Linked DNA regions of Mus musculus: region 1 is reported to be linked to region 2. The links are microRNA targets in miRTarBase. Many come from high-throughput screens and were not tested one by one. Region 2 holds a microRNA gene; the other region holds the end of a gene's coding sequence.
Evidence for each region. Region 2 holds the annotated microRNA mmu-miR-322-5p (CAGCAGCAAUUCAUGUUUUGGA, at 4,071-4,092, shown strand). A microRNA usually pairs through its seed, bases 2 to 8, with sites in the 3' UTR of a target mRNA and lowers its output. Matches are read on the target gene's strand: a 7mer-m8 pairs with bases 2 to 8, a 7mer-A1 pairs with bases 2 to 7 and ends in A, and an 8mer does both.

Region 1: miRTarBase lists Irgq as a target of mmu-miR-322-5p. Seed matches in the 3' UTR shown: 7mer-m8 at 4,300-4,306, 7mer-m8 at 4,280-4,286, 7mer-m8 at 4,277-4,283 and 7mer-m8 at 1,881-1,887.

Annotation. Positions count from the first base shown.
Region 1 is chr7:24,532,125-24,539,725 of GRCm38, reverse strand. Irgq (immunity-related GTPase family, Q) reads right to left here. Exons shown (of 3, transcript NM_153134.3): 3 at 1,126-6,460. The coding sequence ends at 5,239. Among named protein-coding and RNA genes, the nearest start is that of Irgq, 5.3 kb to the right of the region's middle.
Region 2 is chrX:53,050,797-53,058,397 of GRCm38, reverse strand. Mir322 (microRNA 322) reads left to right here and starts at 4,049; the gene lies at 4,049-4,143. C430049B03Rik (RIKEN cDNA C430049B03 gene) reads left to right here and starts at 1,208. Exons shown (of 4, transcript NR_038185.1): 1 at 1,208-1,400; 2 at 1,629-1,740; 3 at 2,234-2,256; 4 at 2,908-5,286. It overlaps Mir351 (microRNA 351), which reads left to right and starts at 5,045; the gene lies at 5,045-5,143. Mir503 (microRNA 503) reads left to right here and starts at 4,344; the gene lies at 4,344-4,414.

The DNA.
Region 1 (7,601 bases), not on the chromosome of region 2:
AGGTTTCTCTCCCAGTCGGAAGGCAGAGAGCTGGGCAATTTCAGAAACAGCAAGTGTGAGCACCTTGGCCTGTGAGAGGCTGCCTCTCATTTTGTCTGCTCGATGGTGGCGACAGGCACTCAGTAGCATTTATGTTCTTGAGATGAGTCTTGAGGCAAAGGCTGGGGCTTGGGGGGGCATGTATCAATTTGAAGATTGCACAGCTCAAATGTAACGGGGGGTTGTTTTGTTGTTGGTGGTGGTTTTTTATTTTTGTTTGTTTGTTTTTTGAGGCATGGGTTCTCTGTGTAGCTATGGCTGTCCTGGAACTCACTCTGTAGACGAGAGATCCACCCGCCTCTGCCTCCTGAGTACACTACCATCGCTTGGCTCAGAGTTTAAGATTGTAGCAGAATGTGGTAGAGTACACCTGCAAACCCAGTGCTTGGGAGGCTGAGGCCGGAGGAGGATGAATCCCAGACTACATACCGAAAGCTTCCGTCAATTTTGTGTCAGTAGTGGGGATAGACCTAGAGCCTTGAATATGCTAGGCAGGTGCTCTACCACTGGGCCACGCCCCCAGCCCCTCACTGGGGGATTCTAGGCAGGGGCTCTACCACAGAGCCACGCCCCCAGCCCCTCACTGGGGAATTCTAGGCAGGGGCTCTACCACTGAGCCACGCCCCCATCCCCTCACTGGGGGATTCTAGGCAGGAGCTCTACCACTGAGCCACACCCCCAGCCCCTCACTGGGAGGTTCTAAGGGAATACATTCCCAACCCTTAGCTTTGTAGGCTTTTCAGTGTGGCAGTGACAGCAGGGAGCCCAAGGATAGCAGAGAGGAAGTTCAATTCATGCGCACTCTTGAAGCCTCTGATTGCATCACATTTGCTGTCGTCCCTGTGGCTAAAATCCAGAGCCAGACTGAGAGAGGGCATCCATGTGCTTGTCTACGGAGAGGCTGGACTGGGGGACAGTGGGTCACGCTGGCTCAAGAGTTCAGCTGCTTGGCCATCACAAACTTAAAAGCATTTGAAAATCACCACCTTGCCCGGCAGGGAAGATGCTCAGCAGGTGAAAACTGCATCTTTCACAGCACACACCCACACAATTAAAATTAATAAATTAAATAGAAGACACACATAATAGCATTCCTACCCTTTTATTCTTTTTTCCAAAACACACCACAGGATTACCAGACAGATTTGTCCCCCACATTCCAACAGACAGCTCCTTCATGAGCCAGAAGTGTGAGACTCTCTCCATGTTGAGGAGGGCACCTCATCCATTCACCAACGTTTGAAACCTGCTCGTCTTTCAAGGGCAATGCCAAGATTGTGTAGCTGCAATTCCAGCATGGAGGACTGACATTTCCCAGAGTTCCTGCGCCCAGGCTCTTTCAGACCCGAGGTGCCTCATGGGAGCACCCTGCTGGCAGCAGGTGGCCTGTGACGAGGGAGACTGAACCTTTCCTATTTGGAGGCTTCCAGGGGCCTGGCTATCTGCTTTGCTTACATTCTGGAAAAGCCTGAAAATCCTAACAAAAGATTGTATGGGCAACATATGTAGTCATTTACACCTGTAATCCCAGCTCTTTAGACGCCCAGAGCTGTAGAGTAAGGCCCTATCTCAGGGGTGGGGGTGGGAGATCATAGTTTAAAAGGCAGCCACCTCTACCTGTAACCCAGGACAAGGAGAGGCTAGGACCGGAGAAGCACCTGGCGCCAAGTGTTTGAGACAGCCTGGATCCTCTATCTCAAGTAACAGAACAAAAATGGGCAAGGAATCACAAAACACAAAAGTGCCCTGTACAAGTTTATGGAGCTGACCAGGACACACACAATGGCTACAATATGCTCCTTCGATGCATCTAGCATGGGCCTCCTGCCTCAAGAAGGGAGAGCAGCAAAGCACAGGACGGGGATGCCAGGTGGCACCAAAGCAAGCCACAGTGAGAGCAGGGCATCATGCCACGTGCCTGACCCTGGCACTGGAGAGATGCAGGCAGGAGGATCAGGATTTCAAGGCCATCACCAGCTACATGCCGAGGTGAAGGCAAGCCTAAGCTATGTCAAAATACCAGAAAAGACATGGAGGGTTTAGAGAGCTCAGGACACTTAATAGGAGACCGAGTTTGGCTGTTACTGTAGCCAGACCAAGGGAAGTGGGGCCCAGGCAGTAGAGGAGTAGCATTTGAGTGTCAAGCTTCTCAGAGGGGGCTGCAGTACCTGGGAGCTGGGTATGTGTGTGAGCACATTCACATGCCAGTGTGTGCATGCTTAGCCACACATGTGCACATGTAACAGAGCAAGTTCTTAGATGCCTGCTGTGATGGTTAATATTAACTGACAGAATTTACGTTCACCCTGGACATGGCTGTGGAGGAGTGCCTAGACTATGTTAAATGAGGCGAGGAAACCTACTGTTTGAAACACTATTCCATAGCGCTGTGGTCCTGGGGTGAAACAAAGATTTCTCAGCTTCCCAAATGTGGTTGCAATGTCTCACTTTCATGCTGTTATGATTTTTCACAATAGACTGTATTGTTGAACTATGATCCAAGTATGTGGATAAAGCCACCGAGGGGGGGGGGAAATCCATCTCAGATTCTATTTGTACTTGACCCACTGGAACATCACAGGTTCAGGGAAAACTACTAAGCCAGGAGGTGAGGCAGGCCTGTGATCCCAGTTACTTGGGAGGCTGAGGGGTTAGGATCCCAAATTCCAAGGCCTGTCTGGAATAAAGTGAGTTCAAGGACAGCCCAAGCAACTTAGTGAGACCTTGTCTTGAAATATGATGTAGCTCAGTGGTGGAGCCCCTGCCTAGAATCCCCCAGTGAGGGGCTGGGGGCGTGGCTCAGTGGTAGAGCCCCTGCCTAGAATCCCCCAGTGAGGGGCTGGGGGCGTGGCTCAGTGGTAGAGCCCCTGCCCAGAACCCTACCTGCAGCCCAGCACAGGGCTAGGTACATGGTTCCAGCAGAGTGTTTGCCTTTAATATGTGAGGCACTGATCAAAACCCCATGATTGGGGGGAACTTATCGATATAATTGAAACACGGGTATGTGAATTGGGCCCTCCATTGATCAGTTCAAGTATTTCCAATTAGGTGTATTGTGTGATGAGGTGTGCTTGGGTGTAGGAACACATTGGTTCTGATGATTTAGTGAAAAGAGTGTCAGGCTGATCTAGGATGGTTTAGAGTCATAATCCCGGCACTGGGGAGGCTGAGGCAGGGCCAAAGCTGGCCAACCCAAGCATCAAGGACTTAGTATCAGGCTGGCTCCAGACCGTGTGGAGTTCAAGGCCCGTCTAGACTCTAGTGGGAACAGGCGCATAGCTTACAGGCCTGCAATCCTCTCTCACCGAAGACTGCCTTAAATTTCAAATTCTCCTGTGTCAACCGGAGGTGCGGGGATTACAGGCATGAACGCCCGAATAAGGTGCCTCCTCGTAGGGCGGATGGTGTCAGAGGTGAGAGTTCAGGGTTAGATGGGAGCAAAGCCCAGCTGTGCAGGCTTCTGATTAGCCCTCAGAAGCTCTTATGGGTCTAGCCCAGTCCTTTCATCGACCAGGTGAAAATACATGGCCCTCGTTCATGTAGTGACAGCGGCCAAGCTGCTGCTACCGTTCGCTCTCCCACCAGGTGCTTGCTTCTCTCCCTCTTTGTAACAAGATTATGACAACCTGAATTCCAGGCCATGTGCCAGTGACCAGTAAACTAAGAAAATAAATACTAGGCACCTACTGTGTGTCAGGCACTGCTCTGGGTGCTAGGGTACACCCAAGAGAAAGACAAGCAAGGAGCAAGAGCCAACGAACAGGCAAGTGAGAGAATGAGAATACAGCCATTGGTAGTAATGTTCACTACAGGGACTACCATGTGGCAGGATCAATGCAAGCTACTTTGGGTGACCATAGAGCCATTTCGGGGAGACCTGACAGATGAGGACCCTATCTCAAAAAAAGACAGGGAGGCAGAGTGTCCCACAGAAAACCAGAAAATGCATAAGTCCTGAGGTGGGACCTTGGCATCAGGCTTGCTGGAGATGGGCTGAAAATGGAGAAGAGGCAGGGCCAGGCCACACACTGTCCCGCTGTGTTGATGAGCCTTTGGCCTGCATCTCTGAACCCCGTGGTCCTACCTGCACAAAGCTACAAAACTGACAGCGATGTGGTTTCTGCCTATGCCTCCCTCCAGGCACTTTCCCACGGCATCAAAGGCCTACCTAGCTATCCTGAGGGGGACCCCCTACACACACACACACACACACACACACACACACACACACACACACAGCAGCAGCATCCTATGTGGACCAGCAGCAGGTGTCTTGGGAGAAATCAGAAGAGGTCATGCAGAAAAACCACATAGACTGCTACAGCAGGAGCCCATCACTTTGAGGCCCTGCAGTTAAGGTCCATATGACAGAAGAAACCAGTAATAAAGAGAAACAGGAGCGTGCATGCCAGAGACCCTGAATCACCCAGCACCTATAAAATGGGGGTAGTCACACCTTCCCAGTAAAGCTCGGAGAGGCAGCTGCCAGGATCCCACGGGAAGTATTTCCAAGTGTGGGTTTCTAATCTTCCATACCCTAAAGACCCCATTCCTAGGCTCTAGCTGTCAGAAGACAACCTTACCCACACACTCCCTTGTCCCTTCCCTTCAATGTTGTGGATCATTATCGTCCACACCAAAGCTTTGGAGAGCAAATGACTGACAATCTTCTGCACTCCAAGAGACTAAAGGGTCTCCAGCAGGCCCCTGGTCTCCACAGGGCTTCCTGCCACCTAAGAAATGGCAACCACAGCCTTCTTAGGAACCAGACTTTTCCTAAGGCTCTCACAGCTCCCACAAAAATCTGTTCTTTCATCAGGTAACTTATACTTCTTTCCTTTTGGGAGCCAGCACTCCAAGGCTTCTATCTCCCCGCAGTTTCGCTCACAGGCAGGCAGGGATCAAGGCTTCTAGAGATCCATGACCAGGTGTCAGCGGGACGCCAAGAAGCTCCCATTTCTACTGAGTCCCAGGCCCTCAACTCCCTTTACTGCATTGGTATCTGGATGACACACTTCTGGCGCATAGACCCTACTCCCATTCAGTACCTAGGAAATCGGGTGACTGTAAATCTCACGTTTCAACGAGATGTCAGTCTCCTTCAAGTCTCCGGGTTTGAATAACAAAACGTCACTTCTTAATCTCAGAGGCTGTGGGGCCAAAACCAGTCACCAGACACCCCAAGCCCCACCGCACACCTCATTGGTTGGGCTCTGGGGGTCCCAGCACCGCCTCCGCATCAGCCAGCATCTCATCTAAGGCTTGTAGAAGTACACCGTGCGCAGCACGGTAACCCAGCCCACCTGTTGCCGCAGCACCACCCGTGGGCCATAGGAAGGAGAGCGCGCTCAACGCTGCACCTCCCGCCGTGCCCTCACCTGCCCAGGACCCCAGCCTGGCCTCTACCTCGGCTCGCGTCACCGGGCCCGGGAAGCGCGTGCGCGTTGCCAGTACTCCGGGAGCCAGGCCCAAGGCGCGCTCACGTCGTGCTACGGCCGCGGGTTCGAGGCCTAGCGCGCGCCTCCACTCGGCCAGCTGTCCCCGGAGAAGCGCCACATCGCAAGCCCAGCCCAGCCCTGGTACTGGGGCGGCGGCCGCCGCCAGGCTAGCCAACAGGGCTGGCCTCCACGCCCCTGCCCGTAGCGCAGCCGCCTTCCTCCGCGCCGCCCGGGGACTTGCAGGTGGCAGCGCCAGCAGCAGAGCTCCGGCCTGAGCTGTGGGCAGTGCGTGCTGGAGCCAGGTTCCGAGGCCTGGGAGACCGCCGGGCCGCATCGGGAACACGGGCGGAGGCGCCTCCTCCAGCACCTCCCATAGCTCATCCTCCGGGCTCCGAGCGGCAGTGCACCCCGAGTCCCCGATGCCAGCTTTCTTTCCTTCGCTGCGTGCATCCCCTGAGTTCCCATCACTTGCATTCTGGGCCTTTTCTTCTTCCAGAACCTCGGGTGGATCTTCGCCCTGGCCGTCCGTGCGCACACCGACGAGTGGAGCATCTGGGGACACCAATGAGCGGACCTGGGCCCAGTTCTCCTCTGTGGGAGCCCCGGGGGTGACAAGGATCAGGGCATCGTAGTGGGTTGGGTGAGGGGTGACGGCAGGAGATGTGGCCGTGGGGCCCAGGGGAACGGTCCAGAGCACTACGTTGGGGCGCTCTGGAGCAGGATAAGGGGTGGGCCCAGTGGGTGCTGAGGCAGGCGCAGCACCTGGGTCTCCAGGATCCAACCCCAGCAGCATATCTAGCACAAGGCCTACATTGGTGGTGCCGGCCACCGCCAAGTCCAGTCGTGCGCTGCCCAGGCGCTCCAGACCAGCGCGCACCCACGACAGCGCCGCCTCCAGGCCACCGGTCTCGAAGGCCTCACGAACAGCTTCCAGCTCGGCTGCGCCCAACACCTCGAAGCCATCCTGGGCAGGAGGCAGGAGCCTGCAGGAGAGAGGGTGGGAGATCGGTCAAAGGCAACAGAGCTTTAAAAGTAGGAAAAGCTGGGCTGAACGAGCAATTACGGGAAAAAAAAAAATCTTTCTGAATCTCAAGAATTTAAGTAGGGAACTAATGCACATAGAAAGAAGGCACGGCCGGGCGTGGTGGCGCACGCCTTTAATCTCTGCAATCTCTGCACAAGTGGCAGAGGCAGGCAGATCTCTGAGTTCAAGGCCAGCCTGATCTACATAGCCAATTCCAGGACAGCTGGAAATACAGAGAAACACCCGTCTCAAAAAAAAAAAAAAAAAAAAAGAAAGAAAGAAAAAAAAAGAAAAAGGAAAAAAAGAAAGAAAGATAGAAAGAAAAAAAAAAAAACCAGGTGAGGCGGGACCATAAAGTTAAGAGAGTTCAGGGAAGAGCTTAAGTCCCCTAGAGGTCCCGCGGGTAAACTAACCTAAGGTCAGGTTTCCAACCGAAACTACGATGAGGACCCTATTTGGACTTCTCTTGATACAGATCAAGAGATCGGGGTCAGAGCTTTTCCAATGGTGTGCTGGTCAGGACACGTTTTCTATGGAGTGGGGCTTAGAGGAAGGCGAGGACATAATGGCAATTTCAGTATGGCCTATGGTGTCCCTGAGGGTGGATGTAAATAAGAGAGACCTCATCTAGTACTGGTGGGCCAGCGAGGTTAACTAAACAAATGAGAAGCAGCTCTCCAACTTATGCAGACCCTTCCTGAGTCGCATTTTGAGAACCATAAAATGAGACAGCTGGCAGGTGGGGAGGGGCTGGGTGGATTGGCGGGCAGTAGGCAGGGTAGAACTGAGAGGGAACTGGAAATGGAAGAACAGGGCGAGCAATCGGAAATAATGCTCTGTAAAGGTTTGGTGTTAACGAAAGGAAGGATGGGAGGGGAGTCACTTGAGAACCAAGCCAATGAGGAGGATGGGAGTGCTGGAGAGGGATCTCAAATGTTACGAGAGATGGGAGTCCAGCATCTTGTCTGACACAAGTATTTGCATATATATATATATATCTGGGCTTGTGATGCCAGAGAGCTTGCACGAAACAGGACCTTTGTGGTGGGCTTTCCAGTTGACCCTTGACGGTGCAGGCTTTAAACGACAGAAAAGTGATC
Region 2 (7,601 bases):
TATTTATTTATTTTTTAACATCCAGGCTCTATTTTATAAGGGATTTCTCCCAGATTTTTTTTTTTTTTTGAGTCTTTCACAAAGCTCAGACTGTCCTCGAACTTGCTATGTAGCCAAGGACGCCCTTAAACTTCTGTTTCTCCTGCCTCCTCCGAGTGCTGGACTCTACTGGTCCATGTGCTACCATGCCTGGTTTTTCCAGCTTTGTGTTATTGTGACGTTTTGCAAATATACAAGAAAGTTGCGAACGCGGTGCAATGAAAGACTATTGACTCCCCACCCAGATGCAACCTCATGTTAGCTCCTTGAAATCCATTCCCGTTCCCCCTTCTCTCTGAGTGCCTGTCTGGGTCAGCGGCATCATTTGAAAATCATAATCACTCTTATACTTCATCTCTTTACACTTAGGCACAGTTCTTGTCACCCTGGACACCCTGCTATTAACTTCAACACCGTTCTCATACCTCCCTGGTAAACAGCGCCGTCCCTAAAGATATCCAGCATACAGAAGAAAGACTCCCTTTCTTTCCCTACTCCAGACTCAAAACTTAAGTAGTAAAGACTTTCCTTCTTGGACTGGACATGTATAAGTAAACTGTCGTTCCCTGCCTCAGTGTCATGCCCACCCCTAAAGTGGACCGCCAGGACCTAAGGGAGTCCTCTACCTGAGGGAGAGTTTGGCAGAGAGGCCAGAGCACAGAAGACTCAACAGAGCCTGGGCACACTCGCGCGCCTAGCACTTCCCTTCTGCAATCTGAGGGTCCCTTGTTTCCTCATCCTGTTTCAGGCACCCCCAAGAAAAATAGTCCTAAGAGGCTTGGCTTAGCCGCCCTGTACCCTCCTGGTAGCCCCAAAGACTTGGGCCCTAGTGACTTTAGAGTGTCATTTGTGGCATGGGTCTTTGAGCTGGAGCTTGGTTGCTTCCCTTCCCGCTTTTCCCCTTTCCCCTTTCTCCCTGGTTTTTGTCTCCTGCACCCGCGGCTATGAGGCTCTCTGTACGTGGCCACTCCAGGCTCCCCGTGTCCTTCCCGGCCCTTCCTGGCTGCAGGCCAAGGCTGTGGCTCTGCGTGTCCGCACGGCCTCCCCCCTCCCCCCTTCCGCTCCGGGGCCTCCGAGCGAGCGGGCGAATGGTTGGGCGGGGCGCGGAGCAGCGCATGGCCACGCCCCCCGGGCCGGCTTTTTCTAGGGCTGCTGCGGACCACTGGGCGCTGGCTGCTCCCGCTCGCCTCTTGGGGTGCGCTCGGCTCCAGCCCAACTCCGCCAGCTCCGCCGGCTCCAGCACCGCTCCAACCCGATTCCAGCCGGATTCCAGCCCGATTCCAGCCCGGTTCCAGCCCGATTCCAGCCCGGTTCCAGCCCAGCTCCGTCCCGGCTCCGGTTCTTCTCCGCCACGCCTCTCTGTGAGCCCCTCGCCCCGCGAACCCCGGTTCCCCGGCTGTCCGTCCCTCTGTCCCTCGATGTCCCGCACCACCGCCACCTCGCGCCCTCCCAAGTCTCCGCGACTCGCTCTTCTAACCTCACAACCTCGCCACACCCCTCCGCCCTTTCTCTCTCGCTGTCCGTCTGTCTGTCCGCCTCCCCGCCCGCCTTTTCCTTCCTCTCTCTAGCTTCCCCGGCTTGTTTTCTAGGTCGACGCTGAGGAGCAGCTTCGCAGGAAAATCCCAGAAACCTTTGCAAAAAGCTTACAATGAAATTTAAGAAGTTCTACGATTTCGGCGCCATTTTCGAGTGGAGTGAGAGGTGACTTAGAATCTAAAAAAGAAAAAAACGAGGGGGAAGGGAACTTTTTGGCCCGCCTCCCCCCGCCCCCAACTATGTCTCTGGTCACTACAGACTGTAACAGATACGGGGATAATTCTCAAAAAAATGTTATGCGTCGCGCTGGGTGGGGTGTGGGGGTGGAAAGCGTGTCCGGGGGTCGTGGTGGGGGGAGGACAGATCTTTAAAATGTCTAGCAAGTGAGTGTGGCCAGGGAACTTCTCAGAAAGTGGACTGAGAAGAGTAAACGGGGAGGGGTGGGGAGAGAGAAATGAGTGAGGGGCGGGCAGCCTCAGGCTGTCAGCCTTGCCAGGGTGGGGAGCAACTAGTTTTGACAGACTGTAAATGGGACTTTGGGCCACTCATTTGTAAGCAGTAAAGAATGTCCTGGAAAGAACCGTAAAATTCGTTTTCCATTGTCTCTCGCTAATTAAAACTTTTCAAGGTTGTTTAGTTGTTTTTTTTTTTTTTCCAGTATTGGAAAAGTTTGGCTGGAAGGTGCGGAGGACCTGTGCATCATGTTTTGGGTGTGGGGGCGCATGGCATCTGCAACATTAAAAGACAAAACGTTCTCAACTGGGAAGAGAGGAAGAGGCTTAGTCTTTGGCTCTTAAATCATTTGGCCAAACCCTTCGCAGTTCTGAAGTGGGTGGGGCCATTTTGACCCGTCGTGGTTCTGAAGTGGGTGGGGCCATGGTAACCCTAAAGTATTGATTCTTTGTCTATTGTATCAGCGAATGACCCTCTCTAGAAGTGACCAGACATCTCTTTGTGCTCTCTTTTCGTAAGTAAAGTTAAGCCCAAGGGGAAATACACAAACCCAGGGAGTGAGATGGCTTTTTAAGGATATAAGTCGTTGTAGAGTGATGGGAAGAAAAGAAATGGATGAAGGATAATCTAGAGATGAATTTGATTCCAGTGTATTCGTTAACAAAATTATCTAGTAAGACCTTCGTTTTTGATGATGTTATCTCGAATGAATTTTGTTTTTATGAGTAGTCAACTAAGGAAATGTTAAATTAAGAGGAATTGCAATCTCTGATGTGACATTTGTGTGGGACATAAAGTTAAATTGGGAGAAAAATACGTATCTTTAAAGTATAATTGTATCTTTACTAAACACGGCTTTTCTCTCTCCTCTTTTTAAAGGTGACCATCGATGGTTTTTTCCTCCACAATTCCGTGTCCATGTAAAAATGACTTGTAATATAGCCAAGAAAAGACGGAATTTTCATTCCAACTTAAGGAGTGGGGCTGTTATTATTAATGGCTTTATTTATCATGACCTAAGCAATGCATATGTTAGCACTGGATCATTATCTGTTATGTTAGGAATTTTGTATTTAGTTTAATTACATACTCTGTATATTTTATTAATTAATTAAAAGGACCCAGCATTCATTGTACTAGTTTCGAAAAACGGACATAATTTTAAATGAGAATACAGGAAATTTGTATACAGAATGTTTTTTGCTTTCAAAGGCACTGTAGTTTTGTTGTTTTAGTTATTAGGTTTGTGGTTAAGGACTAAAGGATGGTTTTTGTGCTTTCCTGAATGCTTTGTTTAAACAAGGAAATGAATGTAACTTGTTGCTCATGTGTGTCCATTTTGAAAAGCAACAGTGGGAGCTGAGGAGAGCGCACAGTGCCGGCCATTTCAAGACAAGATTTTCAGTGGCGTGGCTTAAGAAGGAGTGATTTGTATTTAACATCAAGTATTTAAGGATGTCATTTATTTAAAGTTCTTGATTTGTGATTTGATGTCGATGGTAACAAATGTCTTTATAAATAAGCTTGAGTAGCCAGCAATGTATGAGAACATCCAGGAATGTATGTTTCATCTAGAACATTCTCATGCTTTGTCCTTAAAAATAACTAATGACGAGGTGATTACTGTAAGAACGGAGGAAACTACTAGACAAGTCTATTCCATGCCTATAGTATTCAGTAAAACCAACTGGGACTACCCAGAGGGATTTTTTTTTGATTATCAAAAGTTCCTTGCACCAATTTCCAATAAATGATCAAAACCCGGGGACAATAAATGAGACTTATACAAGGTAGCAGGAAGTTTCACCAAGACTTTGGAGCTGGCAAGAGTGATCCAGATGTTACCAAATTGTCTCAGTTTATTTAATCCCACTTTTCATCTACTTTCTGAGGTAAGAGTCTCCTCCTCCCCACTATCCACCACACCCTGCTTTCCAACAGTACACCCTTTGCCTCACCAGCAGATCCTGGAAATCACAGAGACTTTCTTCCTTCGCAGGTACCCCAGAGCGGCCCCCACCCTCGTTGACTCCGAAGGGCTGCAGCAGCAATTCATGTTTTGGAGTATTGCCAAGGTTCAAAACATGAAGCGCTGCAACACCCCTTCGTGGGGAATGTAGAAGGTGGGGACCTGCTGAACAGACCTGTGTGGGTTCTACTAAAAGCCCTAAAGCAGGTAGGTGGGAGGGCAGGGGCTTAGTCTAGTGAGGGTCACTCTACACAGTCCAAGGGCCTGGGTGGGTGTGAATAGCAAGGTGGCAATTCACTTGAAGAAGGGACAAGGCATCCTGTACTCAGCCCATCCCACTCAGTCGTGCCCTAGCAGCGGGAACAGTACTGCAGTGAGTGTTTGGTGCCCTGGAGTATTGTTTCCACTGCCTGGGTAAGTCTGGGTCTTCCACATGGGCACACCCACCAGGTAAGTTTCGGTTAGCCTGCAGCATAGGCCCCATGGGAGGGAGACTCTAGAACAGCTCCCAACTAGAGTTGCTGATCTGTGACTCTGACTGGGTGTGACTGAAAGTGTGTTGTTAGCGCCTCACTTGCTGCTCAGGTAAAAGTGAATCAACTGGGAAAAAAAAAAAGCACTTCCTGGTCATCAAGTAGTATACCACCCACAAGAGCGAAACAAGAAAATTTGTCCTAAGTCCTCAACAACAAAATGGAGAAGGGGTCCTTCCAAAAGGAATAAGAAGGGTTCTGAAGGGCAGGAAGGATGACTTGAGAAAGTCCCCATTTCTCTTTGCAGTTTAGGAAAGATTAAGGGGTCCGTGGGAGTGTCCCTGGATCTCTTCGTGTCTTGCTGGTGCGGACCCCCAGGTGGTACAATGAGAGGCAATGGCCCAACAGGAAGCCTCAGTGAGGCTCTGCATTTCTAGTCCCCATTTATCCCCCTTTCCCAAAGTCATCACACAATTCTACATGGCAGTGGGGACATGGGGACACCCTTGTCACTGCCTAGAAGTCTCTGAGAAAATGGCTGCTTTGTGACATCCCAAACTCTGCTGTGATTAATCATGGCACCTCCGTTTCCCTGAGGAGCCCTTTGAGCCTGGAGTGAAAAAAAAAAACAGGTCAAGAGGCGCCTGGGAACTGGAGAAGAGTGTTAAACTTCTGGAGCAAGACTGTACTTTTCCTGTGAAAATCACTTTCCATAATCTGGAGTATAGGCATGTAAAGGACTGTTGGAAAACGGAGTGTGGGTGAAATCGTGCTGCTTTGTCTTATTAAAAAGAAATAAAATACATGTACACACACCCTTCTGGTCTGTATGAACTGCTTGTCATCTTCCCCAGGGACTGGGTGCAGGCCCCCATAAAAGGTACAGTTAGAGGAGGCCTTGTGAGCCTGGGAGTCTAGCTCTAGCCACCAAATGCCTTTCTCCCAGACTCCTTTGCGTTTGAACAAGGTGTGGGAGGTGGTTTGGGTCCCGTTGGGCCCCCAAGGACCCCCTGGCTCCCAGGAGCACTGAAACCCCTTGGAACTTAAGCCACGCCTTGCCCCCATCTCCTTGGCTTCTTGAAGCCACGCCCCCCAGCTCCTGCCTCACCCCTCCCCTTGGCAGGGCCCCTCTGGCCCGGAATCCCCAAGACAAATGGCTAACAGGTTCAGGCGCCCCGCGTTCCTATGCGCAGGGTTGGAGGAGGGGCACTTTGAGACTTCCTATTCTCCCTCACCAACTTCCCTTCTCCATCTCCACTGTTCAACAGGGCTTTGCCTTATGCCAGAGGAAGAGCGCCGGGGCTCACTGAAGGCCCCCACTCACCCAGAAGAATCTGGCCTGCGCCATCTGGCTGCTTCCAGTGGGTGCCTGCAAGATTCAAGTGAGATTCAGGTGGGTTGGGGACTTTAGAGCAGAGGAGCAAATGATCCAGGTTTAAGGCCACTGACTAAGAATCTAAGATGCCATTAGCCCAAGGTGCCCAAGGGCGCCAAAATTGAGCTCATCCACATAGCACCTGGCTGCGTGGTGCCCTTTTTTGATTTGAAATGCTCTTCGCACCTTTATTTGCCTAGTCGAAGTTATGATGTGCTTCGATTTTCTTCCAAGGGCAAAATGTGAATAAAGCAATATTTTAGCCAAACACTTCTATGTCAATTAAGAAGATGGCAATTCGTTCCAGATTATAAATTCCCTTTAACAACTCCCTAAGGTATTCTTTTAAATTGTTTTTCAAACATTGCTAAATGTGCATGATAATGTGTGGGAGACTTGTATAAAGTGATTCAATTTATGGTCGGCTGATTAATTGATCCTCCATTACCACATTCAAAGAGGCACCTCTCCATTGTTTTCTCCGTTTTTTTTCCCCCAACACATGTTATTTGTTAGTGAGGAAGCTGTGTGCACGTGGCATTGTAAAAGGTTACTAGACAGACATGGCTCTTAAAACTATGAAAAGCTTAGCCTGGCTCTAAATCTAAACTCTGACATTTCTGTAAGTTGTAGGACAAGATATTCAGGTTATTGTGATACACTAGAATTGAACATAATTTTGTAACAATTTTAATAACAGGAATACTTCTGAAGGCATCTTCTGCTAGCCATATTGGTTTGGTTTGGTTTGGTTTTCCAACAAGGGAACACTACATCAACAATCTTGGGGATGTGGACACAGAAGACTCCTGTTCCAAGAAAGTACAATCATCTTTCAAAAACTGTAATTTATATGCGTTTTACCACACTAGATATTGAAAACCACCCAACTAGGGGGGTACAGTATATAACCAGTCACTAGTGTAATATTGTATACCTTTTTAAAATGTTATTGGAAAGTGTTTTATGATCTGTAAGTCAAATAATCCGGCCCCACCGTTTTCATTTTTCCTGCTATTCCCCCAAATCTAGGCTCCTTTGTTCCAGTTGGCATGTAAACTTGTTTTTTCCACCAAATGAGTCAGTCCTGATAGAAGCGTCAATTGATTTGAACAGATGTGTGTCAATGTTACTTGGAAAAACTAGATGCCAATAACCAGGGCCACAGAAAAAGTCAGCAAATGTAATTGTGTAAAGCATTTATGCATGCACGCAGACAAGGAGAAAAGTTGAATCCTAAACAGGAAAACATTTGGATACACTCCAGTGCTGGGAGACCAAATAATTCTGTGTTGCTTTTGATGTCCAGTAACATGGGCAACTGTCCAATTAAACAAACACCCAAGAAGGACTCTGCAATGCCCATTATTTTACTGATTATTCTAAAGCACCATACCTGTCAATCCATTGAGGAGGAGGGAACAGCAAGGGAAACATGATGAATCTACACGACATAAATTAATTAATAGGCAGATTTCCTGAGAGACGGTGCAGATTAAAAAAAAAATACAAATAGGTTCAAAAAGTATGCTTCAGGAAGATCAATGAATATATATTGATAGAGATCAAAAGACTTGAGCTGTGGGCATTACCAAGTTAACATTAATTTCTAGAGATCTATTTTCCCGTTGTCCAGAAGCATTTCTCATGATGCCAGAAACTTATACGTTCATCTTTATGTAGAGTTATTGTATGCCTCTTAAAACGAAACACAGTATGTATACACCAATCATAGCAAATCTGTATCTCCGAGGCC